Oryzias latipes: one gene and its partners. The protein of the gene in region 1 purifies or fractionates together with the protein of each later gene. This does not show direct contact. Links are inferred from orthologs where the notes say so. Each region holds a gene or a part of one and is shown in the gene's direction. Other genes may lie near its edges. The genes, in order: zzz3, tada2a, kat14, yeats2 and kat2a.

Region 1 (5,898 bases):
TGTGGACGGCCTGGACGTCTCTGTGAGATGGTTGCACTTCCATCTCTCTTAAATTTTTGCATCACTGTTGCTACAGTATTTTGACTGATATGTAAAGCTTTGCTGATCTTGTAGCCCTCACCTTTTTGTGCAAAGAAATGAGTTTCTTTCTGAGTTTTGTGACATTTCTTTTCCATGGGGAGCCAGTGCTGACAGCATGAAATGGGAAGGGCTGTTCTTTGTTAAGAAATGCCCTTTTCTAGTCACCTGTGTGCTGGACACCTGAAATGAATCATTAGGCAAGGCAAGGCAAGGCAAGTTTATTTGTATAGCACAATTCATACACAAAGTAATTCAAGGTGCTTCACAAAACAGAAAAATGCATTAAAATCACAAAACATCATAGAAATAATCAACATAAAATTTACTTTAAAAGAAAAGAAAAAAAAAATTTGAAAACTGATTTAAAAATAAAGGAAGGAAAGGAAAGAAAAGTGCAGATAGGACCTTTCAGTCATATACACGGCTAAACAGAAATGTTTTAAGTCTAGATTTGAACATGAACACAGAAGAGGCCTGTCTTACGCCTTCAGGGAGGCTGTTCCAGATTTTAGCTGCAGAATATTGAAACGCTGATTCCCCTTGTTTAGTTCTGACTCTGGGAATCAACAGGAGGCCGGCCCCTGAGGTCCTCAGAGTACGAGATGGTTCATATGGCACTAACATGTCAGAGATGTACTTTGGTGCTCGGCCATGGAGAGACTTGTACACAAGCAGAGCTGCTTTGAAGTCTATTCTTTGAGGTACAGGGAGCCAGTGCAGAGACCTGAGCACAGGACTAATGTGATCATACTTCCTGGTTCTGGTCAGGACTCGAGCAGCAGCATTCTGGATGTACTGAAGCTGTTTTACAGCTCGTTTGGAGAGGCCGGTGAGCAGGTGACAGTAGTCTAACCTACTGGAGACAAATGCATGAATAAGTATCTCCAGGTCTGGCTTTGACACTATGTTTTTGATTTTGGCAATGTTTTTCAGGTGGTAAAATGCAGCTGATGTTACTGACTTGATATGGCTGTTAAAGTTCAGGTCAGAGTCCATGATTACCCCTAGATTTCTGACTTGATTTGAGGGTTTAAGAGACAGAGAATGAAGGTAGCTGCTGAGACTTTCTCTTTGTTTCTGTGGGCCAAAAATAATAACTTCGGTCTTGTTTGAGTTTAGCTGGAGAAAGTTGTTCTGCATCCACGCACTGATCTGTTGGAGGCAGTGGTTGAGTGAATCCACCGGCCCATATTCACCTGTTGTCAGTGACACATAGATCTGAGTATCATCTGCATAGTTGTGATAAGATATGTTATTACTGCGTATTAACTGCCCTAGTGGCAGCATGTAGAGGTTGAACAGAAGGGGTCCCAGGATCGATCCCTGGGGCACACCACAAGTCAAGGCCATGTAGTCTGAGACACAACTCCCAATTTCAACAAAATACTTCCTGTCTTCTAGTTAAGACTTGAGCCAACTTAGGGCAGATCCAGAGATGCCAACCCAGTCTTGGAGTCTGTGCAAAAGGATCCCATGATCAACAGTATCAAAGGCAGCACTCAGGTCTAGCAGGATTAAGACAGAGACTTTGCCATCATCAGTGTTCAGGCGGATGTCGTTGGTTACCTTGATAAGAGCAGTTTCTGTGCTATGATGGGGTCTAAAACCTGACTGGAAAACATCAAATGAATTGTTTAATAAGAGAAAATCAGTGAGCTGTTGGTAGACAATTGATTAGACTCACCTGTGGTTGAAAGCCTGTTCATTAGAATTTTGAAGTCTAAAGTTTGGCTTTTCTCCCAAGACTCTGACTGGGGTGTACTCATTTAGCAACATGGGCTTGATTCATTTGTTAGGAAAATCACTTTTTGTGTGTGCAAATAACAAATCTTGTTTTCAATCAATGCCACACCTTTATAGGTGTATTTTGTATTATAGTATTTCAGAGAAAATGTAGATTCTGAAAGGACACTAAAGGTAGTGGTGTGTACTCATTTATGCTGAGCACTGTAGTGGGGTTGATCAGAAATTCCTCTCTGTTGTGAGTGGGACACACACACACCAAAAAACACCAAAAGGTTCCTCGTTTTATTCCAATGTGAGCATTTTTGGGGGTCTTCAAGGACCCATCAGTTTAGCTCTGTGTCTCAGCCTCTCATTGGAAATGTTTAAATGTGGGTGCTGCCTTCAGAGCAGGATTGCACTGCTCCTGTATTTGCCGGTAATTTGATCAGAGTTCAGCCGCATGCCAAGTTTGGTTGTGCTGAGTGAGGGGAATTTCAGGCCTCTGATCAATGCAGACAAGTCAGTGGGGGGGGGGATGATGTCGCATTATTTAATTTACAGGACTGATATACTTAATTGATTTAGTTGTAAAACAGTTTGTTTGTGCATCACTGTACTTTGACCATTTATTTTGTACTGGCTCTTTGATGCCACACTGGATCTCCACTCAGAAAGATCAAGTATGAGCTCAGAGATCAGCTGTTCATGGGGCTTTACATTGGGCGTCCAGTAGGTGGCAATGGAGTACCAGACTTTCACCTAGAAACATGAGTTTGCTTTCATCTATGCCTCAAAGTACATTTAGGTAAAGATGCCTGATAGTATTCTGTGCAGCATAGTCACAGACTGCTGGTTGAGTAAACCCGATTTTAAACCTCATTACAACATTTAGTGTGTCGTGTCTTATGGTTAGCTGTGGGATCAATTCTGTCCATGCTCGATTTTCAGTCATGTTTTCTCCAAGCATCCTCTGGATTATAACCACATACCAAGCGTCTGTATGGCTGTTTGTTTGTTTCTCCGCTGAGTCAGTATCTTCTGTCATCCCCGGCGGATCATTTAGATTTTCTTTTACTGCTCCAGGCAACTGCGGGCGTAAAATGCCAACTTGAAGCACTGAACTTTCTACGAACACTGCATTTGTCATGGAAATGTTTTGAAATGTACTTTTTAAATCTGAAATGTTTATGGATCTGGCCGGTGCTGTTGTGTTTTTGTGTTGTAAAGCTGCAGACCTGGATGGGTTTTCTCAGAAAAGTGGCTGTAAAGAAGCAGGTCTTTGACATGTTTTGCAGGTCTATTTGGATCCAGAGCTGCCAGCTGCTGTCGGGATAATTGCATTGAACCTTCTGTAAATGTTTTGATTGCAAAATAGGTGTGAAAGTGGGTTTTGTTTTGAGGTACTGTTTACGCTTCCTAGCACAACTGTTGAATTATGCATGGGCAGTGATATAAAAGTTTCATGCACTGCAGCCCGGTGCCATATTTAATAATGTAGGCTGCTCTGTCATTCTTCACAGCCTAACCCTGCTTTGTTTATGCCAGTTATCAAAGACTGCTGCAGACCATTGGCGTTCTTGAGGCCCAGCGCACGCAGGCCATCCGTGACCTGGAGACACTGGCACATCAGCAGAGTGAGGCTCTCGTCGACCCTATTAGCTTTGTGGAGAAGCTGCAGAAACAGGTAATAGAGGGGCAGAAAAAATATGCAACAGAAAAGAATAGAAAGTTTTTAAAAACATAAGGTTGATGTGCACTTGGCAAACAATTTGGGTCCAGAACTGCAAAGTCATCTCAGCTCTGCAGGGTGGCTCATGTGTCTGTTTTTACACTTTGACCCCCCCCCCCCCCACAGGTGAATCTGGATCTGCCGTGTCCTCAGCGCGTCGTTCAGCTCCCTGAAATCGCGTGGGAGCAGCACACGTCTGGCCTTGGTGATTTTGAGAGGGAATTCTGCGACAAGAAGCGTAAAACGAGGCAGCTTAAGTTGATCTTTGACAAAGGCATGTATGATCATGAAATTCCTCATAGGCTTCTTTTTTGTAAGGGCTTTGTTATTCTTCAAAAGCATGTGGTACCATTTATTTTCTACTCCTTTGACAGGTTTGCCACTTCGACCAAAAAGCCCCATTGAGCCCAAGAAGGAAGGCGAATGCTCCACGGCGTACTCCTCTCTGCCCACCAGTGATGCCCCGGAGAACGGCCTGCAGACGCAGGTATGCGTTTGCATCTCACCCCTGTGCTCTGCACGTCGTTATCAGTCTGTCCTGTCACCACCTCTGTGTCTCAGATTATTATTAGTTCAGATGCAGTGGCAGCACTTTCTAACTGCAGATGGTGAGTCACCAATCTCCTGCAAGTCATCTCACCAATCATCAGGTTACTGCTGTCTGACACCCCCTCCCAAAAAACTCAGTTGTATTCCTAATGCCAGGCATTTTGAAAAACGTTGTCATCAAAGATGGTTTCCATGGAGACACGATGTTCACTCCTCTCCTGTCTTTGTGATTATGCATCACTTTTGCTGCTGTTCCACAAAGGTGTCTTCACTTTGAGCAAACCAGTCTGCTCATTTCTGTTGCTTCTGCTGTTTGTGCTACAAAAGCACATTTGCATTCAGGGTGACAACTCTCTGAACTCCGACAGGATTCCTGACAGTCAGAAGACTTGTTGTGCTTCCGTCTGGAGTCACATCTGACAGCCAGGTTTTCTCTGTCAAAGTGATGAATGTGGAAGTGCCAGGCAGCTCATGTGCAAAGATCCTTACAAATGTTGACACGCCCATTATCTTTGTGTTGTTAGTCCTTTGACGAGCCTTTCTCTGTGTTCCTGACAGATGATCAGGGGGAGGATTTGTCACCCGAATAAACCTGACACTTTTAACCAGCTGTGGACCGTGGAGGAACAGGTTGGTGGCAAGAGGATTACTTCCTTCCTAATGGTTGTATTTACTCGCTCATGCAGTTATTCTTTGGGTGCTGCAGCTTGTTAACGTCTGCTGCGTACTGGCCATAAAGAACAACCTCTTTTTGCTGCATTGTCTGTGGCAGTGCCTGTATTTGCTCTGAGTTGTTTGGTAAATTCAATCAAGTCCCTCCTCTGTCTGTGTGGTGCAGAGCAGCACAGCAGAGATGTACATGGAGACAGTTTGAGATGTAACTGTTCAGTAAATACTCCAGAGGATACAAATGACCTGCAGTAAACACTCTTCTTCATTTCATAAAAGTTGAAAGAAGAAAATAAATTAGTTTTTGTTAAAAAATGCGGTCCATTACAAAATCCTTAAAACCCTCAAAACACTTCGGATTATTTGATGTTTTCTACAAGTTTATGTTTATTCACAAGGAATAAAAAAAAGGAAATGTTCCATCATTCACTGCTGACTTGATGTCAATGCAGTCGTGGTGCAGAGGGGACCTGGCTGCCAACAACAAGATCCACTCAGACATCTTTAGCCGGAACTGGCAGTTCTCGACGGGAACCTCCCTCTGATTTTGGTCAACAAATACCTTTTGAATGTTGAAAAAGACTCATTTAAATAGCGACCGTAACAGTGACGTACCCCCCCTCCCCTTTTTTTTAAGCTTTAACCCAGGAGTGGGGAATCTTCTTGGCCGAGAGAGCCATGAACACCACATATTTTTAAATGTAATTTCGTGAGAGCCATACAATGTTTAAAACTAAAAAGACAAGTGAATGTGTACATTTTATGTAATTTCAACACTTTTAAAGTACAATTAGTCTGTAGATTCTTTTTAATAACATTGTACTGTAGAGGACTGAGTTGGACTGGGTGGCCGTGGGTCGTGTTCTAAGCTCCGGAGTTCATTGAACCCATCAAGAGATCTGATTGGCCCTCAGTTCTGTCGCTCAGCCTGTCGTTGGGTAGTTTGGACCAATGGGGTTCAGCTATGGGCCGAATAAGGAAATAGGAAGGCTGGTGCGGAAGGAGGGAATAAAAAGTTTGGAGAAGCGCTCTCAGCAGGAGAGATTCAGGAGTTGCTGAATTAGTTGGACGGCGTTGATTACGGCCTACAGTAACCAGAAAAAAGAACCCTAAAAGAGGTTAAGTCTCCGTGCCTCAGTGTGGGA
Region 2 (6,646 bases), on another chromosome or scaffold:
TACTTAATTAAATGCAACTGCTGGGCACAGACGTGTCTTTTAGCCAACACACATCTATGAAATGCCAGCATCCCAGCAGAAAAAAATGAACATTTTATGCCTTGTACAGTAAGTTCATTACAGAATAATTTAACGATCAGTAGTAGGAAGGACAATCACATTTGCTGTTTACGATGACATAGGAATGACAATGATCCCTCATTAGCATATTCTTCACCCAAAATGAAGGTTTTCAAAAGGTTTTTAGCTTTAAAACTTTTGGTTCAGACCAATCATGACAACTGTTATGACACATAATTAAGATACCCCTTGAAACAAATCCCTTAAACATATAGCTTTGTGGAGCTTTGTCTGGTTTTATTAGACATTTTTCTCTTTGTTTTGATCATATCTTTGCTTTGTTTTTGGAAAAATAATTTTTTTATTTTGTCTGTATATGTTCAAGCTTTGCCATGAGACATAAAAAAACAATTTGATTACATTTTTTGATGTTTTTTTTGCAGTAAAAAAGGACTAACTTTACCACTCAGGTCAGTTTCAGGTTTGTGGTGAAATTGCTGTTCAATATGATGAGGAATATCAAGGAAAGAAAATAATCTGGGGTTTTACTAAAACAATGGATATTAAAATTGACACATAAAACGGTTATAAAGATAAATTATTATGGTCACCGTAAAAATCTCTCAAAAAGTCCCCAGATTGGTCTCATGCCATTTCAGCCGATTTTAGGCCTCCTTAGAATCTTTAAGGCTGTTAAATAGACCTTTAAAACAAAAAAAGCATGAACTTTACAAAGTTCTAAGAATAACAAACAAATATACTGAGTGCATGTTGGATCAATTAAATTTGAATAGAGAAATGTTTTAAAAAAAACACTTGAACAATAATAAATGACATCCAAAAATCTTCTAATTCCTGATCAATTTATTCCGAATTTAATAATTTAGTGAAACAAACAGTTGATAGAAGGGCTCTTCTGCTGAGATAGTCCTGAAAAGTTGTGGCCTTTATAGCCACGTTTGATCACACACTTGTGGGCATGTGGTGTGAATGCTGCAGCCAGGAACAAAAAAGGAAGCTCACTCTGGCTCAACACACAACAGCAAACCGTTACACAAAAAGGAGAAGTCTCTCCTCATAGGTGAATAAATCATGACCCTCTCAAAGGATGATTACAAGCTAGTATGACGGTGAGCTGGAAATTCCTCCAAAAGAGTAAGAGTGTGCGTGCATCTCCTTAACATACACAGACTATCGTTAAAAACCGTGTCTCTCCCTAGAGGCTCCAGAGATGAGTCGCAGGCTAGGATGCTACCGAACAGACCAATCAGGATGTATTGAACTCACAGAGAAGGCTCAAGCAAGCTGGAACAGAGCAGCCCATTCAGAGTTAACCCATCATGTGGTTTAGGAAGCTGCCCTCATCCTCTGTGGGGATTTGCAGTCTAAATATATTTGCTCTGAATCACCTCAAAGAAAGAAGGAATCAGATTTTCTGGTATCAATGACAGAAATGCAAATATTAGAATAAAAACTGTCATAATTAGTAACTGCAGAGAGGTTAAGAGGTTTCATGAAAATCAAACAGTCCTTTTTCCAGCCACATCTGTACTAAATCAGTCATTTCACTCAAATACTTATTTTTTCTACCTTTAAGTGAGTTTGGCACATGTGGATTTGCAGTTTTATGCATTAGGGTTTCAGATATTTGTTTTCCTAAGGCTCCTCATGGGCCCTCACTGGCATGCTCTTGAGGGTGTTTGAGCTGTTTTTGAATTGGGGGTGCCAAACCTGGACACAGGCACTGGAAAACATTGGTACTCATAAATATTTGCTGGTTTTCATATTAAAGAAAATGTCTTGAAGCCTTTTGCAGGCCAGGCAGCACCTCTGCAAAAAGTTTATGGAGGACAAAAAGCAGCATGGGGGTGTTGTGACACAGAACATTCATCATCTTTATTTCTATTTCTCACATGATGCTTATGCAAGCCTCAGGTAATCATCTGTGCTGGGAGGGAGACAAAGGCTTTCAGGGTGCTCATTGTTGCCTTAAGAGACATAGAGCAAGATCAGCACCTTGTGGCAATATAGGGAAGTACTGTCGTCATGGTGATGAGATGGAGAAACTAAAAACAAGTTAAAATCTCTCCCCATTGCAAAATAAATGTAAAACAAAAATCTTAAGAGAAGGAAAAGAAAGTTAAAGATGAAATACCTTTTTATAAAAATCATTTTGCATTAAAATGCAATATTCCATGTGGCTTTTTTATATATTTCATACATTTTTTTAAACAACATTTGTTTTCTGTTCAAATTTTTGAGTTTCTTCTGCCTTTGTAAGAACCTATGAGGACATGGCACACAACTATTAAAACATAATAGTATATATATCATTTTGTGTGGTGATACACGACCAAAACTATCGATATTCGGAGCTCGATTAGTTATGACGTCATCAGGCACATAGCCGAGTTCTGAAAAACAGATCGACCCAAATTCAATTTTGGTGTTGTTATTGAGAAGCAAATAGCAATTAAATGGACCGAATAGCGTCTTTTTCAGGTACGTATTGGCATTATTATACACACAGTTGAATTTATTGCAGTTTTACCAAGTATCCATCGACTTTTTGGAAGGTTAGCTGTTTTTGTCCATAAAGCAAGGTCTGCTAAGCTATCTTTAGCATTAGCATCGCCGTCAAAAACAATGCTATTTTTGTTTGCCGCAGTGATTTGTTGAAAATATTCGACCTGTTGTTGAGACATTCAACATTATCATCATTTTCAAGCTCGACTAGTAAAGCTAGTCCTTCGCCCAAGATAACATCTGTTTTGTGCATTCAAGTTTGCCCCAAAATCACGACTTTAGGCTATATGTATCTTTTTTAACTGCGTGTTGTTACTATTAAAACTGTTACTGATAATATATATATAATTATTCTGTTCATTTTAGATGACCCCTTTGATAAACCGCCTTGCAGAGGCTGCTCATCCCATCTAACCGAACCATACATCAAGTGCGCAGAATGTGGACCTTCACCTTTTTTGTTGTGTCTTCAGGTAAGCCAGATGAGGATGCTTATAATTTGTTTGTTTTGGCTCTTTAGAATGTGTGTTTGAACACAAACCGAATAACTCAGCTGTAACTTTACGCAGACAGACCACAGTTTAAACACTTTGGACAAAACCTTACGATTTTTTTTTTTAGCCCAGTATTTCCTTGTTGTTGTTGCAAAACTTCTTGGCAATAAATGTTAGACTTCTGCAAAATTAGTTTGCTTTATATTTTAAATGAGTCCATATTTGTGAGGAACGCGCATTTGTGCAATGAGCAGCAGAAGGTATGCAAGGTTTTCCAAATAGCCAAACTGCTTTTATTTCTGTAGCCATTGATTGACCCTTATTTTTGGAACTTCTGGAGGTTTCCACATCAGTGCCCGCCCAGCACTGATCGCCTTCCACAGATTTCTAACTACTATACCTGATTTGAGAAAAAAAATTCAAATGAAAGAACATGATGCCATCCCACGGCAGTGTATAATAAAGAGGTGTCAGGGTGTTCCGTCCAGTTCTTTCATGTTCCACTGATTATCCTGTTTCTTAACAATTGTTTTATTTATTTTTTACATTGCCAATACCATATATCTTCCAATAGTGGCTGGTCTTCAATTAATGTCAGGGCTATTATTGGAGGATATACGGTAAGTCTTACATCCATTATTAAATAATATATTTATTGCCTTAGAAACATTATTACATTTGAGAAAAAATCATGTAGCACAAATTAAAATACTTTTGCACTCTGAATTTTGAATTTGTTCAAATAGCATTAGATCGTATTGCTAAACCAAATAATGTTTTGTATGTATGTTCTTTATTATGAGTGTTAAGTGTTACATTTTCTAGGGTTTTCTATTGTTACAAATATTCTATGATAGATACAATTTTATTAAAAATTAAAATAATTGACATATTTAATTTTGTATCTATAAAATATATCAACTATATATTAATAAGTACAGTTTTTAAATATAGTATTACATTCTGTAGTAAAAGGGTATTAAAAGTACATTACAATGTTGTTGATCACATTTCTAAATGTGTTTCTTAAAAAGTGACGCTTTATTATAGTTTTATAGCACACTGATATTATGAAATCTTTTAAAATTATTTAAAAGGATGAAGTCAAATTGTGTCTAACCTGGTTTAATACTGTGCTTTCTCACACACCTGTGTTGAATACAAATTCTTTTGTTAGTTACTTCCAAAAATGCACTTGTTTTTTCTTTCTAGATTAGAACTTTGTTATTTTGCAAAATGATTTCCTTCACTGTTAAATTAATGGGGAAATAAATGACCAGATCTTTACGATTGGGTTTATTTGAAAAATAAGCCACATTATAACTGCTGCTTCTTTCATGGTCGTCATATCGATACAATTTATGAATTCACTTAATTTGCATGTAAGTTTTACTTTTCTCAGTTAAGAAAACCTCCTCAGTGCATTCAAAGAACTTTTATTTAATGAACAAATCGTGTCTTTTACCTGACCAGCTTTACCCTGAACTTATTTCGTTCCAGTGTTTTACCAGAGGATTTGAATACAAGAAGCATCAGAGTGATCACAGATATGAAATCATGGTGAGTGGAGCTGCAGTTGAGTTTCTCGGGTGTAGCTAAACATCATGTTTAGCGGGCATCTTTTGTGTTACCTCGACTCAGACTTCAGACTTCCCGGTGCTGGAGCCTGGATGGACGGCGCAGGAGGAGATGGCTCTGCTGGAGGCAGTCATGGATTGCGGGTTTGGGAACTGGTAAGAGGTCGAAGACATTTTACCAGTGTTTTCTTTTTGAATACACTTATTTTTACTAACTTCAAAAAGCAAGTTTTTAATGTTTTATCATTTAGCTATTTATCATTGGTGTCATGTTAGTTTCATTGTCTTTTGGTTTCAAAATGTGACAATTTTTACAAGTCATTTCTGCTGTTTAATGGAAATCTCACATTAATTATTTAAAAAAGAAGATTGGTGAAAATATTATTTAACAGTGGTTATATTGTTTTTTAATTTAAGTGTAATTTAGTTACTGCCTCGAAGTTTGGGGAAAAGCATATTCTGTCCATATATATAAAGCCTTTGTTTCATTTACAGAAAAAAGCAATTAGTATAATCAACAAAAAGGCAGCAGAGAATTCACTAATAATTTAATTGATTTTTTAAAAACTTTATTATTCATGTTAAAAGCCAAATTGAAAATTCTCCCAAACATCATTCAATCCGTTTTTTCTTTTGTTTCATAAGACGATAGCGACAGGAGGAAATATAATTTGCCACTTGCACGCACAACTAATAGACACACATATCACTATATGCAGTCAATCTATGCAACTCACTGGACAGTACATTGAAAGAAACTACAAGCATAGTTGCATAGATTGGAAAAAAAAAGCTTAAAAATGGGATATTTAAAAAATACAAGCAGAGAACTGAAGTAAGACATCCACAAACGTAAGCTTGAGACCGAGCTGGGTTAAGGAGGGGATAGAAATGTAGAAATGTAAAGTTTTGTTGTTTGTGTTGTTATTAACGTCGCAATGTGCTTCTTTAAAAGGAACAGATTAACGTCATTTCTGGATATAGAGCGCACCTGATTATAAGCCGCACCCATTCCATTTTTAAAGGATAAAACATTTTGTACATACATAAGCCGCACCTGTCCATAAGCTGCATGTGCCCACATTGAAACATGTGTTGTAGAATGAGGATGTGTATGTGCTGAAACCACGAGCCCTGTGTGTAAGAAAGAGGGGAGAGCGTGCAGCGCTAGAGGGAGGCTGTCACTTACTCTTGCACTGCTAGTGCTCCTTCCTCTTACACACACAGTGCACTGACACACACATACTCATTCTACAACACCAATATAGTTAGTTCATTGATAGTAGTTAGTTGTTACGGTTATTTGTTAATAAAGATTAGTGCGTTGTAATTATTACTTGTACGTAGGCCTGCACAATATACCGCAAATTTATCGTTATCGCAATATCAAGCTGTGCAATATGCATATCGCAAAAGACAGCAAATTTGCAATAAATGGTTACCTTAGATGTGGCCAAACAATCTTATGGCAGCTTGAAGTGTTTAATGGATTGAAAGAATCCCTTTCTGCATTTGACCAATGAGATGGACCTCTTCACGTTGTTAACTAATCGGATGGCGCCCTATTATGTTGTATGTTCGCCTCCTATGTCAACAAGGGTCATTTGTAGTATAATTTTTAAGCTGTTGTAATGGAATGGGAATAATATTTTTGGTTGTTTTGCTAATTGTTTATATACTGCAAATTATATCGTTATCGCAATATTAATTACTAATATCGCATATCGCGAGTTTTCTTCATATCGTGCAGTCGTACTTGTACCGGTATTCATTTGCGACGCAGCCGCCGGAGGATTTTGTGTTCATCACAGCGGTCATCAAAAATCCCACACCGTCACAGCTCTATTCCAAACAGTGCCTGTGACATGGCAGCAATATGGTAGTAACAGCACTAACAGGGCTTGTTAAAAAAAAACATACCGGTAAAAGTCACTGAAAGAAGAAAAAAAAAAGTCACTGAAAGCAGCAGTAACTTATAAGCACGCCTCT
Region 3 (6,443 bases), on another chromosome or scaffold:
ATGAAGGCTGGAGCCGCTGGTTCCACGCTGGAGAACCTGCAGCTGTTGTGTTGGTGCGGTTCCCTGCGGCCCGGATGCTCGTGCAGGTTCTGACAGAACCCCCCTGACAGGCACAGAGCGGATCAGACCCCAACAGCGTGGGACAGGAGCCCCGTTCTGATCCACTGTGGTTCTGAGGAGCTGTGGTGAAGCGGCCGCTGTTTTCAGGAGTCAAAGTCGTGACTGAAGAGGATCTGGACAAACACACGGCTTGTAAATAGCCATCAGGCTGCACCGTCACCATGGAGACCGGCGCCATGCAGCGCCGCCGTCTGCCGGGTCGTCCTCTAAGTTATTGCTGTGTTTCTATTTATTTTTACTCTCTGTTTGTACAGTGAGACGTCCGTCTGTTTCTGTTCATGATTAATAAAACCCGGTCTCTGCTGAGTTCTTCACTTTTGTCAGCGGTGATCCAGACTCAGACCCGCCTGAAGGTCCACCAGAACCGTGAAATGCTCCCAAAATCCAGAACCAGTCCAGACCACAATCTGGTGTTTGCTTTGAGGTCATGTGCAGAAGTGAGATCCAACCATTGACTGTATAAGAGAACGGGACTGAGTGGCCCCTCCCCTTTGGCGTTCCAAACAGGAAGTTCCCACAAATCCCACAGACGTCTACAGAGAAACAAACAGCTGTTCTTCCCTCATCTATTGGTCAGAACCCGTCTGGATCCCAAAACTTTCACATCCCAAAATCCTCATGTTTGAATAATATTTTTTCTGTAGTTCAAGTTATAAACCGACCAATCAGATTCCTGAATAAAAGTAGGCGGCCTCATGTCGAACATTCAAAGCATTTGATTGACAGATTCTTCTGAGCCTGCTTTCAGTGGAAGGGGTGTGGCCTCCTAACATGCTCACTACTGATAGGAGAGAGAGGTCTCCATGGAAACGTAGACTAAGACCAGAGCCGGCGTACTGAGGACGTCTGGTTCCAACGTGGTGTTGGAAAAATGGCGCCTGAATTGACTTCATTTGGTTGAAACTTTTTTTTCTTCACTGTATTATTCAAAACAAATAAAACCAAAATGCATGACGAGAACAATAGTCATAACAATGAGAATGCCAGGTACATGTATTACAAAGAAATATTGCAGAAACAGATTACTATGCATTGAAAATGTTCAAAGACAGTTTTCATAAATACCGTTTTTGTTTAAGCCATTAGAAATAAGATTCTAATTCTCTAATTATTACAGGGAAAATATTTGTGATGAAGAAAATGTTGATTTGTGAATATTAAACCTACTAAATATTATAATTAGATTATTGCCAATTATACGTTTGATCTTATTTTATTTTCATGTAGACCAAATATGATAAACTCAAACTTCATCCGACATTGTGAGTCATATTTATGATTTATAAAACGTGAACATTCTTTCCTAAATGTTTTAGTAATATTGCATTTCTGTTGTTTACAGAGAAGACAGTTGGGGTCAATAGTCTTCTTCTATCTGATCATGTATTGATTATGGGATGGATTCTATGTAGGAGTCTGTAGTAGACGTCTCTCATGATATTGATTCATCATTTCTGATGCAGGGTCCAAACAGTTTTCCAGAGCGAGTCAGGAAGACGTTTCCTCCAATAGAAGACAGCAGAGGAACAGAAATGACGTTTAGCTGAAACATTATTTGGTTGAAACTGGAAGTAAGTCATTTTGCAGGGGCGACAGTGGCTCAGGTGGTTGAGCGGGTCGTCCAATGATTGAAGGGTTGGCGGTTCGATCCCCGCTCCCACCAGCCAAAATGTCGTTGTGTCCTTGGGCAAGACACTTCACCCTCCTTGCCTCCAGTGTGGCTCCACTGGTGTGTGAATGCACATGTATGATCCCGGTGATGGTCAGAGGGGCCGTAGGCGCGAAAGCCACACCTCTGTCAGTCTGCCCCAGGGCAGCTGTGGCTACAACTGTAGCTACCATCACCAAGTATGAATGAGGAGTGAATGAATAATGGACACAATGTAAGAACTTTGGGTGTCTTGAAAAGCGCAGATAAATCCAATCCATTATTATTATTATTATTATTTTCTCAGATGACGTCACGTCGCACGCGCTCAGTCCGGTTGTCTGGCCGCTGGGAGCCTAAAGGGCAGAGTCCTGCTGTCAGAGGCAGAGGGAATCCCTCCACTCACCTACTCTGCTTTATCTCTGTATGCCGACGGTCAACCACTAAAATCTGTTTACAAGTTTTATTTAACTTTAATTGGAAAAAACGTGTACATTATTTAAAAAAATCAGTTTTAATGAACTCATATGACAATGGAGGACTAAACTTTCTGGATTTAAAACACTAAATAACACATGGATCAACTGGATCAAATCTTACCTAAAAAAAACTACAACAAATTTGGAATATACTTCCACATTTAATATTTTCAAATATTTATGGCTATCATAAAAAAAACCTAGACTCAATTAAAAAACTAATAATTATATTATATTTGGCAAATTTGATATTCATAAATGTAAATTCTCTTCAACTTCTATTTTTTCCCCGTGTTAATCAGAGTAAAATGTCTCTCAATTCCATCTCTTAAAGTCTTAACCAGTGAATGTCAGTATGAACGCTGTAGAAACTTGAATGTTTTTATGTAAAATGCATGTAATATTCATGCTCTCCTGGCACATTTAAAATTTATCTTGTAAAATTGTGTTTGTACAATAAAGTTTTTAAAAAAAGTCTGGCCGCTGCGCTCCCGGCCGCTGGGGGCGCTGCGTCGCAGCTCAGCGGTCAGCCGCGCAGAGGAAGAGCGGGACGCGGCAGCTGCAGCGGGCTCGCGCTGAGTTGAACCCTCCGTGATGTCTGTGACCTCCAAAGTGGTTCTGGGAGTTTCTGTGGTTCTGACTCTGAGCACCGTGGCGACTGTGCACCTGAAACAGGCCTGGGACCGAGAGGTGAGCCGGTCCAACACCCGGTAGCGTTGAGGCTAACGGCTTACCCGGTTTAAGGCCATAAGCATCAGCGTGCCGTCTGCGGACGCTGCTGACGCTGATGCCAAAACGTCTGTCCGTCAAGTTATCCAGAGCTTCCGGTTTACACTCTCAAAAATAAAAGTTCAACAGAAGCAGAGTTCTCTTAAATTTAGTTTTCTGTTTATGTTTGGACTGTTATGGTTGTGATAAACATTAATGTAAATATATGCTGACTGACCTCGGGACCTCCCCCCGGACTTCCGGTTGAGTGGACTTCAGTGCTGATTTTCTGGTTTTGAAGTTAAACGCGTTTTATTGTGTCAGTTCCTGTTATTATCAGAGTGTTTCAGGATTTTAGTAGAATCCCTTCCAAAAACGAACCTGAGGGATTCGAACCGACCTCCTACTCCAGGGATGCCCACACGTTTGTGAGTTATTTTTGAGACGTCGAGCTCCTAAAGTTCTGGACCGGGACCACCAACCCTGCTTCAGTAGATGCTGGTTAGAATCAGGCCTGTTTCTGATTGGCAGAACACACCTGATCCAGGTAGCCCACCAGGAGAGGGCCGGCTGACCCTCTTCCTGGACTGACGGTCGTCTGGAATCGTGGAGGGCTGGTTGGAGCGTTCGACACCATAAATCGTAGAAAAAAAAGATTCAAATATTAAATTCAGGCTTTCCGGTAATTCAATAAAAGTGATAGAATTCAGGTCAAATAGAATGCCCATTGTCTGTCCACGGGGGTCCACAGGGGTCCATGCTAGGGCCCTGTCTGTTGTTCCATAAATGACAGTTTCCTGTTCTTTTCATTCAGACGGATGCTGATCACAACATTTGGATTATCTTGGGATTTATTAGACATTTTAACCTTAAATCATTGTAACCGTGTCACATTTCCTTTGACTAACTTTAATTTTATTTGGGCTCATTTGTTGCTAACATGGTTCTGTCACATGTTAGAACCGGTCCCAGACCAACCAAAGCACCAAACACAAACAGTTCAAGTACGGCATTTTACGACACAAACTCTGTTTTCTAAAATGCTGGGCGGTTCGTGGGGCCGTCCACTCCACCTGTTTGTCCAAAGAAGAACTGGGGGGGACCGGCTCTGAACACCACAGACCCGCCTACATGCCCCCCCCATCTATCAGAACTTTCATGGGGGCTTCCATCAGTTTCACTCCTGGGACTTTGTTGTAAATCATCCTTAGTGACGTTTTTAGAAAGAGGATCAAACGTCTGGTTGGGATCAGAACAGCCGCTGGACTGATTCTGGACTCTAATCTGCAGACAGAACTCTAGAACTCAAACCGCATGCAGCTCCTGATCTGCAGGAGGAACGTTAGAACACAGAACCTTCTTGTTCTGGACCCAGTTCTGGCTATGACAGGATGCGTTCTGGATGCAGACTTGCAGCCGCTGCAGTGGAGGAATTTGAACCGGGACTGGACCCGGTTCTACACTAGAACATGAGGGGTCCAGGGATCACTGCTCTCCTGTTAATGCCGGCGTCTCGTGCCGCGAGCAGCCAGCGGCCAATAGGTGTCGTTTTCACTGACTCCTCCCCTCTGCTCCGGCGTCTGCAGCGCCTCCACCAGGGTGTCGTTCGGGATCTGGAGCGGCTGGAGAGGAAGAAGGAGAACCTGCGGTTGCTGGAGCAGCAGAAGGTCCTGACCCGACACCTGGAGGAGGAGCGGCGGCGTGCTGAGGCCAGGCTCCGCCCACAGGACACGTGAGGCAGGTATGTTTTGTGAAACGGAGAGAGTGGAGGCTGTGAGGGGACGTGAGCTCACGCCGCTGCACCGACAGGACCGGCCCACAGGTGGCGCTGCGGCTGAGGGCGGACATGGACAGCAGCGGCGAGCCCCTGGCGGCGGACGAGGTGACGTGCACGTCGGCGTCAGAGGGGCTGGAGGAGGGGGAGGTGGAGGGGGAGACTCTGCTGATCGTGGAGTCGGAGGATCAGGGTTCGGTGGACCTGTCCCACGACCAGAGCGGGGACTCGCTGACCAGCGACCTGGGGGAGGAGGGGGAGGGCGGCTGGGCCTGCGAGGACATGTCCTTCTACTGCGAGCGCTGTCACAAGTGGACCCCTGCAGGTGAGCCCATCACCACAGGGGGCGTGGCCAAATCCTGCTCCCTAAGCCTAGCTGCATGCAGCGTTGCCATGGCGATGGGGGCTCTAACGGGTGTCTGTTGCAGCTCAGCTCCGAGGAGAACAGCCCAGCTACCTGAAAGGAGACAACTTCTTCAAGTTCACCTGCTGCAGCTGCTCCGAGGACGGCAAGGAGAGCTTTGAGAGGATGCGGCTCACCTGGCAGCAGGTACACCCCCGAAACCCCGCTGAGGGAGGGGGCGGGGCTGAACAGGTGTGTGTTTGACAGGTGGTGATGTTGGCCATGTACAACCTGTCCCTGGAGGGGACGGGCCGGCAGGGCTACTTCCGCTGGAAGGAGGACATCTGCGCCTTCATCGGCCGGCACTGGAACTTCCTGCTGGGAACCAGGTGAGCCCCCGCCGGCCGGGCGCCGCACAGGTGAGCCCCCGCCGGCCGGGCCCACCTGTGCGGCTCCGCACAGGTGGGCCCCCGCCGGCGCTGACCCGGTCTCTCTGCAGGAAGAAGACCTCCACCTGGTGGAGCACGGTGGCCGGCTGCCTGTCTGTCGGCAGCCCCACCTTCTTCCGCTCGGGGGCGCAGGAGTTTGGAGAACCCGGCTGGTGGAAGCTGGTCCAGAACCGACCCCCCACCCTGAGGCCCGATGTGGACAAGTCCGCCGCCAAGACCAAAGGTAAGGCGCAGCCAGTCCGCAGAGGGCGGGGTTCCACGTCTCTGCTCAGCTGCTTGTGGTCCGCAGCGTCCAAACCCGTCCTGGACCCCATCATCACGGTGGAGGGCTTGAGGAAGCGGGGGGCCCGGAACGCCGTGGAGAACGCCATGCAGCTGAAGGAGAAGCGTTCTCGCACCCAGGAGGCCAAAGACATCCGTCGAGCACAGAAGGAGGCGGTGGGAGGATACCCCGACCGTAGTGCCTCCTCCACGCCCGTCAAACTGGGCGGGGGCCGTGGCGGGGGGGCCGGGCGGCGGCCCGATCTGGTCCTAGAGAAGGGGGAGGTCATCGACTTCTCCTCGCTGAGCTCCTCGGACCGGACTCCTCTCACCAGCCGGTCTCCGTCACCCTCCCCCGACTTCTCCGCCCCAGGGACGCCGGCCTCCCAGTCGGCCACGCCCAGTCTGCTGTCGGAGGCGGACCTCATTCCTGACGTCATGCCCCCCCAGGCGTTGTTCCACGGTAAGAGGACGCCCCCCCTAGGCGCTGCTGCATGGATGATGATGTCATGACCTACCTCCCCCTCCTGCAGATGACGAGGAGGTGGACGGCATGATTGATCCAGGAATGGAGTACGCCCCCCCACCCAGCGCCACCCTCATAGGCCGCAAGAAGGTCTGCTCCGCCCCCCCTCACATCAAAAGAGAAGCTGACAGCGAG
Region 4 (5,898 bases), about 19 Mb from region 1:
CCAATCACAGCCAGCTGTAAGATAGTCCCTCAAGGACAGCCACCCAGTCCCGCTGAATCTCCTGGGAAACTGTTCCAACCCATCACCATGAGCTGTAAAATAGTTTCAGGCAAGTGTCTCCATCAGTTTTTTTTATAGCAGCTATATCTGCCCTATTCAGAAGTTGAGCTTAGTCACTAAAATAAAATATTTCATTATGTCAGTGTTTCACATGTAATAAAGCATTTATTTGATAAATTTACCACCAAATTACAAACAACAATTAAGTGAAAAGACACTTTTCTTAAGAAAAGTGATTTTTTTTGTCATTAATAAATTGAATATATAACCTTTTTTTGTCTTTTATGTTCTAACCCTCATCTGAGATCATAAATGTTGGGTACCCAAAATACCAACTGTCTGGTATCGGGTCATGATGCAGTTTAGACACGTAGGGCTCCAGAATGGACTGATTATGGTTAGGAGTGTTCTCTTGGGAAAGCCTACCCCCTTAAGAGCTAAAGGAGACATCTGATGAGGAGGTCCAGTAATGAAGTCCTAGATGAGCTGCCAAAAAAAAGCACCCCATGAAAAAGAACAGTCAAATTTAGAGGTGTTAAAAGCTTAAAATATTTCATGAAATTGGTGTGATTAACAGTTGATGTTCTTTAGACTATCTTAGCCCTCAAGTTCTCTTCCATTTCAATTCCTCCAATATCTTTGACATATAAAACACCAAAAGATTTACTCTGTATCTGTTTACTGGTACATCTTCTCATCTATAGGCTCCCCCATCTCCACCCCAAGCCACTCTCCCCTGCCTCGCACACCCATCGCCTCCACCCCCGCTCACACCAAGGATGGCTCCTCTGTGCTCAACAACCCTTATATCATAGTAGACAAACCTGGCCAAATGATCGGCATGACTTCCTCGTCTGCTGGGCCCACAGGTACAAATCTTTTTGTCAGTGCTGCCGATGCTCCACAGAGTTTAAAAGCAAACCTCTAAGATGCCCTTGAAAACGTTTAATGGCTACAGAGAATGGAAAGTACAGCAAATGATCAAATCTGGAAGATTTTTTTTCTGCACATCTCTGCACCCAAAGCCTCTTGTCTGTTCTTCTCTTTAATATTTTAAAAAATATTTGATAGTATTTTTGTCTGTGGGTTTCGTTTTCTAATGAGTGACGTGAGGTGAAACAGCAGAATAGCTGCTGGCTCTGAGATTACCATGGCAACAGCGCTGTGGTAGTTCATGATCAGGGCAGGAGAACATCTTAAAAATCCTTTTGCTCTTTTGAGAAAAGATGAATTAGAAGTACTTTTTTGCTCCATGGAGTGCAGGCTGCTTCATGATCACAGATCTATTTTACACATCAGAAACTTGGGTAACCATTGCACCATTGGAGCTCTTTCTCTTATGTTGTGCTATTATATCCACTTAGACACTCCTACGCTTCCTCCACGAGTTCAAACATCAGTCAGATCTAGTTTTGGGATTGGAGCGGTAGTAATGATTTCCCTCAGGATTATGTTGATATGAGTGTCATGGGGGGGTGGGGTCGATTCTCCGAACCTGCAGCTCTACTTCTACATGGAGTGCAGTTAAATGTCCGCTTTAGCATTATCAATAAAGTTATTGCTCATTTTTGTCCATATTCTGTTACATAGGAAGCCCTACAAGCAAACAGGGTCAAGGCACACGCTCCCCAGCACCTAAAGTTCACACCGGCACCTTGCTGTCCTCAGGAGTGAAGGTGAGTTAGCCACGTTTTAGACGAAAGCACATTTTTTTGAGGGATTTATCCATCCTCCAGCCTGTCCCTGTAGCATTTGCCTCTCCAGCAAAGCAGTGTGTATTAATAGTAGGCTGGGGAACTGCCTTCTGCAGATGTGAGCCCTTCAGCAGCTATTTAAATAGGGCATCTTTGTGAAGATGGGGGTGGGGGTGTGGGAAGCTCTGTAGAGAGAATTACTCGGTTCAGCTTCACACCAAATGTCTTGACAGCCTGCAGTAAAGTGATTGCGCTGCCACTTGTTGCCATCCTTTTGATTATTCTGTGATTTTACTTTGAAATTCTCTTCTAATACAGTTTTAGTCCTGTCACCGTTTAGTCCAACATTCTTCGACATGTTCACAAAAGCGACTGTTATTTTTTGCAAGAACAGTCATCTTTTAAAACATTTCTTGTGTTTCTTGTTCAGGTTATTATCAAACAGGAGCCAGGGGAAGTTTCAACAGCGCAGCAGCAGCAGATGGTTTCCACGGTAACCAGCCAGCAGCAACCTTCTGCTGCAGCAGCTCACCAGTTGGTTGCAATGAAAGGAGGTCACATGATCTCCATGACGGCTCAGAAACAGGCCGGAGGAGCCACAGGGTCCACAACAAGCAAGGTCAGACATTCCTGCATAGATCCAGACAGTAACCAGGAGGATCTACCTGAATTGCGTCCAAAAAGCCAAGTTTAGCTTCCAGATCCCAAAAGAAAACAGTCTGATGAGATTTGACGGAACAAGGAAAAATAAGATCTATAATGTTTTAAAAACTTGTTTCAGGCTTTAAACTTTTGAAAGATCAAGTACTGCAGTCTTTTTTTTCTTGCTCTCACTCATCATTATTTTTCATTCCCAAACACAGTAACTCCTAAACATTTCTTTTCATTTGTTTCTCTCTCCCCTTCTTCTCTTTGTAGATGTTGGGGATTCCTGTTGGCTCCACACTTCAATCTTCGGTTAAGCAAGTTGCCATCAGCAGTGGGCAAATTCTGGTTGCCAAGGGCAACCCCGGTTCCAAAGTGATGGGAGGCAAGCAGGTTTTGGCTCAGGGAGTTGCTAAAGCCATCGTCAGTGGAGGCAGCGCCTTGTCAGGCCAGCAGGGCGGCGCCAAGACAGCTGGTGGTTCAGGGGGCAAAAGTGGAGGTTTGAACTCACAGACATGACTGACATTTAGATTCACTATGATAAACCTTTACATCTTAGCTTATAGGAAATTAGCTCTTTTTATCTCAAACATTTAGATTCTGTAATATTGTAAACCTTGAATTGTAAATAAACACCTTTCTGAAAAATCAGACACTTTTGGTTTTACACCCTTCTTCCTTTTACCTTGATCTGTACACCGTCTTTTGTATTTTTTACAGTAATGGCTACTCTGCAGCTTCCAGCCAACAACTTGGCGAATTTGGCCAATTTGCCTCCTGGCACCAAACTTTATCTGACGACCAACAGTAAGAACCCATCAGGGAAAGGAAAGCTGCTGCTGATACCACAGGGAGCCATTCTCCGAGCATCTAGTGCAAGTAAGACATCCTCAAACTTATGTTTATGCCTTTAAGTACAAAGAAACCTCCACATTATTTAGATCTGTTTCAGTTATACTACACACTTATTATCCTATTAGTTTTAAATAGCTGCTTTGTTTGTACTTTTGTCCAACAATTCACTTTATCAATCTTAGTTTTATGCTTTTATGAATTGAGAACCACAAAGCTGATTGATTACTAAATATTAAAGTGTAATAGGATTGTTTACCTGATTTAAAAATGTCCTGTCGTCTGCGTGGAATTAAGGTCAGCAGTCCCAGAGCAGCTCCTCTGGAGGCGCAGGAGGTTCCCAGAGCTCCTCTTCCAGCAATCTTACTTCAAACCTGTCCTACACATCCTACATCCTTAAACAGACCCCACAGGTAGTTACACTCTTGTTTTTTTATATAAATAACTACCGTAATTTCCGGACTACAAGCCGCTACTTTTTTCCTGCGCTTACAGCCCTGCGGCTTATTCAGTGACGCGGCTAATTTATGGATTTAATTAGCGGCCGCCATGTACGTACTTTCGAACTCAGTGAATAGTTTGAATTCTTTATCTAACACCAAGCACAAGGCATTTATATTCAACACACCTTTAAGCAGCCAAACAGCATGGACTTGACTTCAGGTCTTAGACACTTCAGTCATGGTTCAACAAAACGAAACACGCATGCCCGGCCGCATCCCAGAACCCTTTGGTGCCATTAGACCCAACGTGCACGTGATCGCCGCTACAATATGATGAAGCTTTCAAGTTAAAAGCAATCGTTAAAAGCAGCATAAAAAAGTCCACCGTCACCAACGGGTTTGGAAAAGCCGGTTTCCTGCGTGACGGAGAGAACAGCGCATGGAGTGAATTTACACTCCATTTACGGTTTCTAAGGAAACCGTAAAAGCGGAATTTTGCTTTGAAAAATTCACAGCCTCCGTGTGAGCTGGAGACATCTCCTGCTGATTGAGCTGCGGGGCCGATGGCAGTCCCACGTAACAACGCACCCGCCCCTCATACACAAAACGTACAGTATTAAGTCCGATTGCTTTGCACTGAAACGATTTGCTCCATCCACCGGCGCAACGGGGACGAAGTGCTCCTCCTTGAAGCCGCCCTGGCCAGAGGTGTCAGAGTAGATAGGAAGGGGAGACAAGGAGCGCGCGGGGCGGGAGCGGAGCGCAGAGGCTTCTGAATTCTGACGCACGCGCCGCACTGAGGCGCGCGTATCACGCTGAGGCGCGCGCTTTTCAGTCAGTCGCCGCTGCTGTATTTTACCGGTGTGTTTTTTAACCAGCCCTGTTACTCCCATAACGCTGCCGCGACACAAGCGGAAGGAGAGCTTTTCCCGTTCACCCCTCCATGCACTGCTGATACTTGCTCATTCTTAAACACGTACAACAGAATGGCGAGCCGGGCATTGGCCCCGCCTTTAGCCCCTAAGACTCATGGGAAATGTGGAATCGCAGATGTAAATTTCCTCATCATAACTGAGGGATGTAATGTTGATTATATGGTTACTGTTTGTAATTTTATGTATGATACCTAGATTGTCAATAAGTAAAAAAAAAAATGAAATAAAAACACCATAACTGAGGAACTTGTGAACAGAATAGAGGTCCATGCTGTTTGACAGATGTCGATACTCAAATACATGAGCCTGAGGCAAAGCTGGCACCACCCACAATGTGCTAATGAATTGCACTCACTCTGGGATGCTGGCCGTGATCTGTCAGGATGACAATATCGCCTAACACATGCTCGGCTTGTACTCTGACGCGGCTTGTGTATGTGTAAAACTAATTAAACACGTGAAAGTGGGTGGGTGCGGCTTGTAATCGGGTGCGCTTTGTAGTCCGGAATTTACGGTAGTTGGAATTACATAGCATTGTCATTGTTCTACATTTCTGTTGGAGATTGTTTGGAATTCACAGCAGCAAGGTTTCTTTATTGACTGTCAGTCGTGTGTTTCTGCATGCATTCTCATGAACCCTCTTCATAATACTGCCTGTTCTTCTCTGTAAAGAAATGGCTCCCTGTCCCGGCTTTTTATCTGCTGCTTGTTCTAAAAATTCTTCTATGGGCTCCACTTTCAACAACACAAAAGATGGAAGAATAGGAAAATAAAAATGTCCTTTGAAATCTCATTTTTCTTGAGTATGGCTTTGTTAGCTGTTTACAGAGTTGCTTAAGATCAAATTCTAGTGCGACAGCAGATTTTCAGCTTAATGTTCACTTCTAGATCAGCTTGTTTGGACAGTGGAAAGCATTGAGGTTCTTTTTTAACATCCATATGCCTTCAGAGAGAGCACTTGTTTATTTTTCCCTTTTGTAACTTCTGCTGTTACTGTCCTTCCCACGCCCACGTCCAAACCTAACTTTGTGCTTCGAAGGGCACATTTCTGGTTGGGCAGCCAGCGCAGGGGGCTGCGAAACAGGGGGGTGCCAGCTCAGCAGCTCATTCAGCAGCTTCTCCAGCTGCAGCTGCTACCCAGCAGGCCATTCGGGTCACAGCTGGACAGAAAGCAGCCATCTTGGCTCAGGTGAGTGAACATCCCTGATATCAGGCCTTTACTGCTACCTTTAGTATTTTTTTTAAGCTAAACTGTTGTTCATGAAGATT
Region 5 (6,594 bases), on another chromosome or scaffold:
ATGAATGTCAATGAGATTTTTATGGCTATCGGTAAGTGCTTCCTAATCAACGGCTTATCTGGACTTATGCTAAACGTCTAGTTAAATGATAACAAATTTCTCGGTGCTCCTCCATGGTTTTTCTTTTTCTTTGATAAAGGGAGGTTAGGTGTTTATTTACTTTTTAAATTCCCAATAGTCATTTTATTAAAGACCCTCTCCAGTTGTCTTTTCAGCCATTTTAATAGTGTTCCCAGTGGTTCTTTAATTTATGATGTGCGTGTTTTACCCCAAATCAAAAAACGTGTCATTTTCTAGGACATAGTTTCAATAGTTTTTGTCTGTTCCTGATTTATAATGATTTTAAATAAGAAATGCTCAGAAATACAAATTTGAGCTTATTTTTAATTTATTAAATATGTCCTTCATCGTCAGAAAAATGCAACAAAACATGTTAGAAACACCAAAAAACACAACTTTCACCAGTAAATTTTTATGTCTTTTGTCAAATTCAGTAAAGTTCAATGTAAATTTCCCTAACGAACCTGAAATTTTTAGTTCATCTACTTCAATGTCAATTAATTATGTTCTCTTCTTAAAAAAAAAAAAAACAGCCAAGAAGCTTCCGAAGAACGAGCCCCAAGGCGGTGCAGCCGCAGGTGGACGAGCCAGAGGTGGCGTTGACCTTCAAGAAGCTGCACCCCAGGGTAGAAGCAGCCAGTGCTGTGGGAACTAACTTGCAATGAATCGACTCCTCCATCCAATCTACAGCTTCGATCAACCAGACCCGAAATTAGCCAGCTGTCCGGCAATACCTCAGAGGTCAAACCAAAGCAGGGTCAGGCCAACAACCCCATCAGCACCAAGTTATTGTTTGGAAAATGAGTGGACTGGCCAGTACACTGCAGGACCTCATGGATGGCTCAAACCAACAGACCAACAAATCCATTTCTTTTGCTTTCTGAATTCGACCTGTGACCTCTGGACTCGCCCAATGATCTCGCCTCCAGTTGATGGACTCTTCATGTCTTCTTTGAGAGAAGAACAACGATCTCGTTCATGACTAATGGCACTTAATTGCGCCTTCTTTGTTCACTTTTCTGTTTGTATAGAGAGAAAAAAGGATACAACAAAAAAAGAATAAAACCAGGCTTGTAGGGCCCCTCTTATTTTATTGGTTTTCACTTTCCACATGCATCTGAAATGGTTCCATCCAGTCATTGGGTACAAATCAAGGTGCATGTTCTGTCCTGCTCCTGATTGGCTTCCCAAAAAAAGGATGAGGCTTTTACCAGAACTAAAGGGCTGGACAGATGATTTTCTTGATGGATCTCTGTAGATTGATTGATTCTTCTTCCACCAGTTCTATACTATTTGACACGGATGGATCTGTTTGATTTTAAAACCTTGACTTCAGAGGTTTTTCAATCACCTGGTTTCAAACCATATGGAGTACAAAGTACTTTAACATTTTCACCTGTTTGTAATTTTAGCATTAATGTTTTTTGAATCATCGGTGTAAAAATAAGAATTGTCCTCTTGACCAAAATCCCTATTGTATTGACACCATTGCTTTATTTGTAACAGATTCTTCAGGTTTATAATCAATATGTAGATCTTGACAAAACACCGTCCCAATCTGTACATGTTATGTCAGACAATTTGTGATTTTTTTCTTTTTTTTCCTTTTTTCTTTTTCTTTCTGGAGATCTCTGGTATTAAATGCACTGGTTTTGTCTCATCATCTTTATGAATTGAGATGTTCTCCAGCGTTCACCACATTTTTTTTGTTCTTAATTTTCACATCAGTGAGGCATCAGCTTTTAAACTTTTTTTGAGGGTGGTGGTGGAGGGGGGTCATCCATCCTAATATGGCATCAACCATGGAAAATAGCAGCCGTTGCATCTTGAAAGGGAGGGATTGTGGGAAAAACGATTCTACTTTCATGAATAAATGAGGGTAGACATCTTTTCATGTATGATTTTGTTGAAAATAGCTTAAAAATCTTTGAATTTAAAATGAAATTCAGAGGCTTGGAAATGTTTCTACTCATTTTTTCCACCCTAAAACCCTAAAACAATTTCACACATCTTTACAGGTTACCTGATAACCTGTCGGTTATTGCTTTGACATGAGGTATAGTACTTCCAGTGTCAAACATTTCATAATAGACTGGTTTCTTATACAATTTTGATAATCTTTACATGCATAAATCCACATTTTAAAACATTTTTTGTTTATAACTGTCTCACTTTACAGTTGTTGCTGTTAAAATATGTATTTTGTCTTAAAGTTGCACATTTAATGAGAGAAAAGCTGTTTCTTTGAGACATAAAGAAACAATATAGTTCCATAAATAATTGTGTTTAATTTTGAAAGTCTTCATTGAGGTATGCATAGTTGCAATACCTAAAACGGTCACTAGGTGGACCATAGCAGAGGTACTCCAGAAAAACAGCTTCTGCATTACAGTTAACTGGGTCTGTCCTTTTGTGTGTGTGTGCATATATATATATAATGTGGAATGGAAAAATTGATCAGAGTTTGGGAGTAAACATTTTGGTCACACTAGTTAACTAGTGAGCTTTACAAGAGCCTTACTAGTGGAGCTGTAGAAAATGTGTATGCAGCTAGTTAACCAGTTGACTTTTTAGATTGTCACTAACCAACCAGTAAGCACAAGTATTGCCCACTAGTAAACTAGTACATATTTCTAAACATTACTAGTTAACTAGTTCACATTTATGGCATTTCGTTTTAAATAATTGTACTTTTGGCATTACTAGTTGGGCTTAAAACAAGGATGCCGATTTCATTCTAGAACAGCTTGACATAGAGCCTAACATTTGTTACGTGTTGCTTTCATGTTTTTCCACTAGAGGACACTACACCGCTTTACTACAGTACTGGGAACCTGTACATTTAAAATTTCCAGAAATAGCCAAATGATCCTTTCAAATAGTAAATATTTTATTTTAGGTTTTTATTCACTCACGATTAAAACAATATGCTTTTAATGCTGTGTACATTTTTTATTTGAATTTTTAGCTTTTGGTGTTTGTAAAATCCAGCTTTCTGCCCGGAACCTGAAGGCACCAGATGAGATCAACGGCAACAGAGGAAGTCTCCAGCAGCAGCGTGGATATGTCGGACCCGGCAGCGCAGGCCTCACAACCCCGGCTTCCACAGACCCAGTCCGCTGGGTCAGCTGGGTCCGGTAATGCTGCAACAGGCTCCGGGTCGGGCAATAGCGACCCGGCTAGGCCAGGACTCAGCCAGCAACAGCGCGCTAGCCAGAAGAAAGCCCAAGTTCGAGCTTTCCCACGGGCGAAAAAGCTGGAGAAACTTGGCGTGTTCTCCGCATGCAAGGTAGCTAATGTAGCTAGCCAAAGTTCACAACAGAGCCGTCTTGAGATTTATTAGCGTTTATAAATATATGTTTAGAGCACAAAGTAGAAGTGGAGCAACGTCAACTAATTCCCCTCCATCGACTGTTGTAAAAATAATTTATATTCACAAATCTGTAGCCAAACCCATCAGCTAGCGTAATTGATCCGTTAGTCATTGCGGCCGCTGAATAGCCGTTCACTGTTTGTGCTTCGCGTCCTCAGGCCAATGACACATGCAAATGCAACGGATGGAAGAACCCAAACCCACCGTCAGCCACCCGTCTGGATCTGCAGCAGCAAGCAGCCAGCCTGAGCGAGCCCTGCCGCAGCTGTGGACATGCTCTGGGTACCAACTATTCAGCCTCCATTTAAACCACTGACTAAGAACAGGAGATCAGTACCGCTGAAGGGCTCATCACACTGTTTAATGCGTCTGAGGGACGACACTACAGATTCTGCACAAGATACACGGTTTGCCCTTTGCAAACATGCCCATCATTACTGTGATAGTCAGAAAATAAACTAGTTGTTCCTCCTCTGGCTTTGGGATTAATGGCAAAATTTGTGCAGAAACTGCGACTTTAAAGTCTCATTCCAATTATCTTTTGATGTAATTATGATAAGGCAGATTTTGCCTAAATCAAAAAACGTTTGGGTTTCTAGGACATCGTTTCTGAAGAGCCGTGTTCGTGCATTAGAAACCCACCTGAGTTTTGGGTGGAACTGTTGGCACGGACTGAGCCTGCTCGCATTTCCCATCATCCCTTTGTGTCCGCGCTCTCCTTACAGCAGCAATTACAAGCTTTCTCCAACGGCATGTTTTCGTCTGCTCCTGATTTACCACAATTTGAATGAAGAAATACTCAGAAACTCAGTTTAAATCTTAATTTCCTTTATCTATGTCCTCCATTACGAGAAAAAACGCTACAAGAAGATGTTAAAAACACCAAAAACAAGATTTTTACTGGAATTGGTTTTTAAGAATGAACATTGCGGTTAATATTGTGCGTCATGTTTACAGTCAGTATTATTCTGGTGCAATATTCATGCATGTATAGTTGTTTTTCCAAGTTTGAAGATAAAACGTATATATATATAGTGTAGTCTAGAGGTCTGCAACCTTTTAACACTTTTGGTGGATTTCTAACCAACAACAACCCAGTAGGAGCTACAAAGTCTTACTTTAGCCTTTTAAAAAATAAGACATTAGTTGGTATTTTTGTTATTGTTGCTGTTGTTCACTTTTCAACATAGCCCTTCAGGCGTCGCCACATTGAATCAACTTTCACGTTTTTACACCTGATGCCCGTCCTGACACAACCCTGTATTTTTATCTGGGCTGGGGACCGGCACAGGGGGACCCAAACTTGGGCCCCCTTGTTGGCTACATACTTAGACAGCAGCATATATATAATGTTGTTTTTATGCATAAACAAAGAGAAAATATCTGGGTTTGTTTTTAAGAAAAATGAGAAATGGTGTATAACTTTTGGCCGAGATTCATATGACTTCCTTTCAATAAAGGACACCTTAGACAAAGGATCCTCTCAAAGCAGCTAATGTTTTTATTGGTAGTGTAATGTCACACACTTTGTTTTACCATTGGGGGTCCATCTCAGCCAGAAAAGAGTAAATCGAACAAACTAAATTTAAATAAGAGCTAAATAAGTAACCCTTATTGTATATTTCAAACCACAAGGTACCGTACACTTAAAATCAATAAGAATTGTTTTAAAAGAATTAAAAAATCTGCTTTATAATCCAGTGCTTCTAAATTCTGGTTGTGCTTGGTGACCTCCGATTGATTTTCTGTGGTTATCGGCGCTCAACGTGTTTCAGTTTTTAGTTAATGTTTTAGTTTGACTTGTGTTACGTACTGTCTTTGGCCTGTTTGAAAAGAGTTTGAGGTTGTCTATTTTACTTTTCTTTAAGTTACTACTTAATTATTATTTTTTTACTATAAAGTTACTTTTTCAAATGAATTTTTTTTTACTTTAGCCAAAGAGCCACAATGAAGGGGAATAAGAGCCACATGTGGTGATGAGAATGTATTAGCTGCACACATCTTTTTAAAATACTTTTACAATGTTGCTCTAAGTTGAACTGTTTTTGAAAGAGAAGAATCTCTTTAAAAACTAGTACGTCAATTGTTCTGATAGCTCTTTTTTGCAGTATTTACAGATTTCTACGTTTCCCCAAACTTCAGTACAATTTTGAAAATATAAAGAGATCCCAGTAGAACATATGCATTGACTGTACGGTAATTGTTTTGCAGCGGAGCACGTGTCTCATCTGGAGAATGTGTCTGAGGAGGAGATCAACAGGCTGCTGGGCATGGTGGTTGACGTGGAGAACCTGTTCATGTCTGTGCACAAAGAGGAGGACACTGATACCAAACAAGTGTACTTTTACCTCTTCAAGGTAGCGTTATGGTTCTATGGGTTTTGGGGTGTTTTTTTTGAGCGTTTGGGTGGAAGTGGTGAGGGGCAAATTGATGTTTTATTCTCTAATCCAAGGGGGCCAAATATGGCCCAGCAAAGGTCGTCTTTTGGCCCACCAAGCCTGTAGAGGCCACGGAGTGTTCAGTTAAAACCCCTTAACCTCTTCTATTCATTCATGGAGCGACAACGGAAGTAGCAAACGGACAAGAGGCATTTTAAACAAATATGGGAGGAGGATTATTTTTCTCCAGAAATCTCTTCTCAGGCTGTTAGTCTTCTTTGTCAGCAGTCCGTGGCTGTACTTAAAGAGTACAATATACGCCGACCCTACGAGACTAAACACGCAGTTTTATCCAAACACAAAGGTGAGGCGCAAAAGACAAATTCTAGAGAGTTCCAATCTAAACTTTTGTCACAGCAAGCCACCCTCAAGATGCCCTCGGCAGCAGGGGACAGCGCCACGTTGGCTAGCTACGAAGGTTCGGCGTTAAATGCCGAGAGTGGGAGATCGAGAGAGATTCAAAGAAAAATGTTACTAACTTTTAAGTCTCACTAATGTGTGTTGCCTTGAAAAATACTAAATACAAATAAATAACCTAAACTATATTCTTTATTCTCTTCTTTTATTTCATGACTTGCAAAAAAGTCTTGAATTTGGCCCACGGACCGGGATCACATTTAGATTTACGCCCTTTTGGCCTTTGAGCAAAAAAGTTTGGTCTCCCCTGCTCTAATCCCTGCGCACTGCTTTGTCTTGTCTTGCCTTAAAACAAAAAACGTATTG

The links.
Region 2: the proteins of zzz3 (region 1) and tada2a purify together in Homo sapiens (affinity purification with mass spectrometry; 4 studies listed by BioGRID and IntAct, with this or other methods). This does not show direct contact. The link is inferred for Oryzias latipes from reciprocal best matches to the Homo sapiens genes ZZZ3 and TADA2A.
Region 3: the proteins of zzz3 (region 1) and kat14 purify together in Homo sapiens (affinity purification with mass spectrometry; 4 studies listed by BioGRID and IntAct, with this or other methods). This does not show direct contact. The link is inferred for Oryzias latipes from reciprocal best matches to the Homo sapiens genes ZZZ3 and KAT14.
Region 4: the proteins of zzz3 (region 1) and yeats2 purify together in Homo sapiens (affinity purification with mass spectrometry; 3 studies listed by BioGRID, with this or other methods). This does not show direct contact. The link is inferred for Oryzias latipes from reciprocal best matches to the Homo sapiens genes ZZZ3 and YEATS2.
Region 5: the proteins of zzz3 (region 1) and kat2a purify together in Homo sapiens (affinity purification with mass spectrometry; 5 studies listed by BioGRID and IntAct, with this or other methods). This does not show direct contact. The link is inferred for Oryzias latipes from reciprocal best matches to the Homo sapiens genes ZZZ3 and KAT2A.

What each region holds. Positions count from the first base shown.
Region 1 is NC_019875.2:4,200,082-4,205,979, reverse strand, and holds part of zzz3 (ZZ-type zinc finger-containing protein 3), read left to right. Parts: intron 1-3,351; coding exon 3,352-3,490; intron 3,491-3,661; coding exon 3,662-3,809; intron 3,810-3,909; coding exon 3,910-4,022; intron 4,023-4,642; coding exon 4,643-4,714; intron 4,715-5,898.
Region 2 is NC_019871.2:10,132,021-10,138,666, forward strand, and holds the start of tada2a (transcriptional adapter 2-alpha), read left to right. Parts: upstream 1-2,436; 5' UTR 2,437-2,537; coding exon 2,538-2,562; intron 2,563-2,952; coding exon 2,953-3,059; intron 3,060-4,580; coding exon 4,581-4,640; intron 4,641-4,721; coding exon 4,722-4,813; intron 4,814-6,646. UniProt on the Homo sapiens protein: Component of the ATAC complex, a complex with histone acetyltransferase activity on histones H3 and H4. Required for the function of some acidic activation domains, which activate transcription from a distant site. Binds double-stranded DNA.
Region 3 is NC_019859.2:453,400-459,842, reverse strand, and holds the start of kat14 (cysteine-rich protein 2-binding protein), read left to right. Parts: upstream 1-2,775; 5' UTR 2,776-2,937; intron 2,938-4,541; 5' UTR 4,542-4,696; intron 4,697-4,764; 5' UTR 4,765-4,801; coding exon 4,802-5,054; intron 5,055-5,157; coding exon 5,158-5,279; intron 5,280-5,339; coding exon 5,340-5,461; intron 5,462-5,571; coding exon 5,572-6,245; intron 6,246-6,315; coding exon 6,316-6,443. UniProt on the Homo sapiens protein: Component of the ATAC complex, a complex with histone acetyltransferase activity on histones H3 and H4. May function as a scaffold for the ATAC complex to promote ATAC complex stability. Has also weak histone acetyltransferase activity toward histone H4.
Region 4 is NC_019875.2:23,336,852-23,342,749, reverse strand, and holds part of yeats2 (YEATS domain-containing protein 2), read left to right. Parts: coding exon 1-109; intron 110-764; coding exon 765-929; intron 930-1,650; coding exon 1,651-1,736; intron 1,737-2,184; coding exon 2,185-2,373; intron 2,374-2,672; coding exon 2,673-2,898; intron 2,899-3,119; coding exon 3,120-3,278; intron 3,279-3,548; coding exon 3,549-3,664; intron 3,665-5,668; coding exon 5,669-5,818; intron 5,819-5,898. UniProt on the Homo sapiens protein: Chromatin reader component of the ATAC complex, a complex with histone acetyltransferase activity on histones H3 and H4. YEATS2 specifically recognizes and binds histone H3 crotonylated at 'Lys-27' (H3K27cr).
Region 5 is NC_019866.2:6,156,529-6,163,122, reverse strand, and holds the start of kat2a (histone acetyltransferase KAT2A), read left to right. Parts: upstream 1-3,045; 5' UTR 3,046-3,079; coding exon 3,080-3,349; intron 3,350-3,591; coding exon 3,592-3,715; intron 3,716-5,644; coding exon 5,645-5,790; intron 5,791-6,594. Other genes in the region: rab5c (ras-related protein Rab-5C), read left to right, coding at 1-31, 594-715. UniProt on the Homo sapiens protein: Protein lysine acyltransferase that can act as a acetyltransferase, glutaryltransferase, succinyltransferase or malonyltransferase, depending on the context.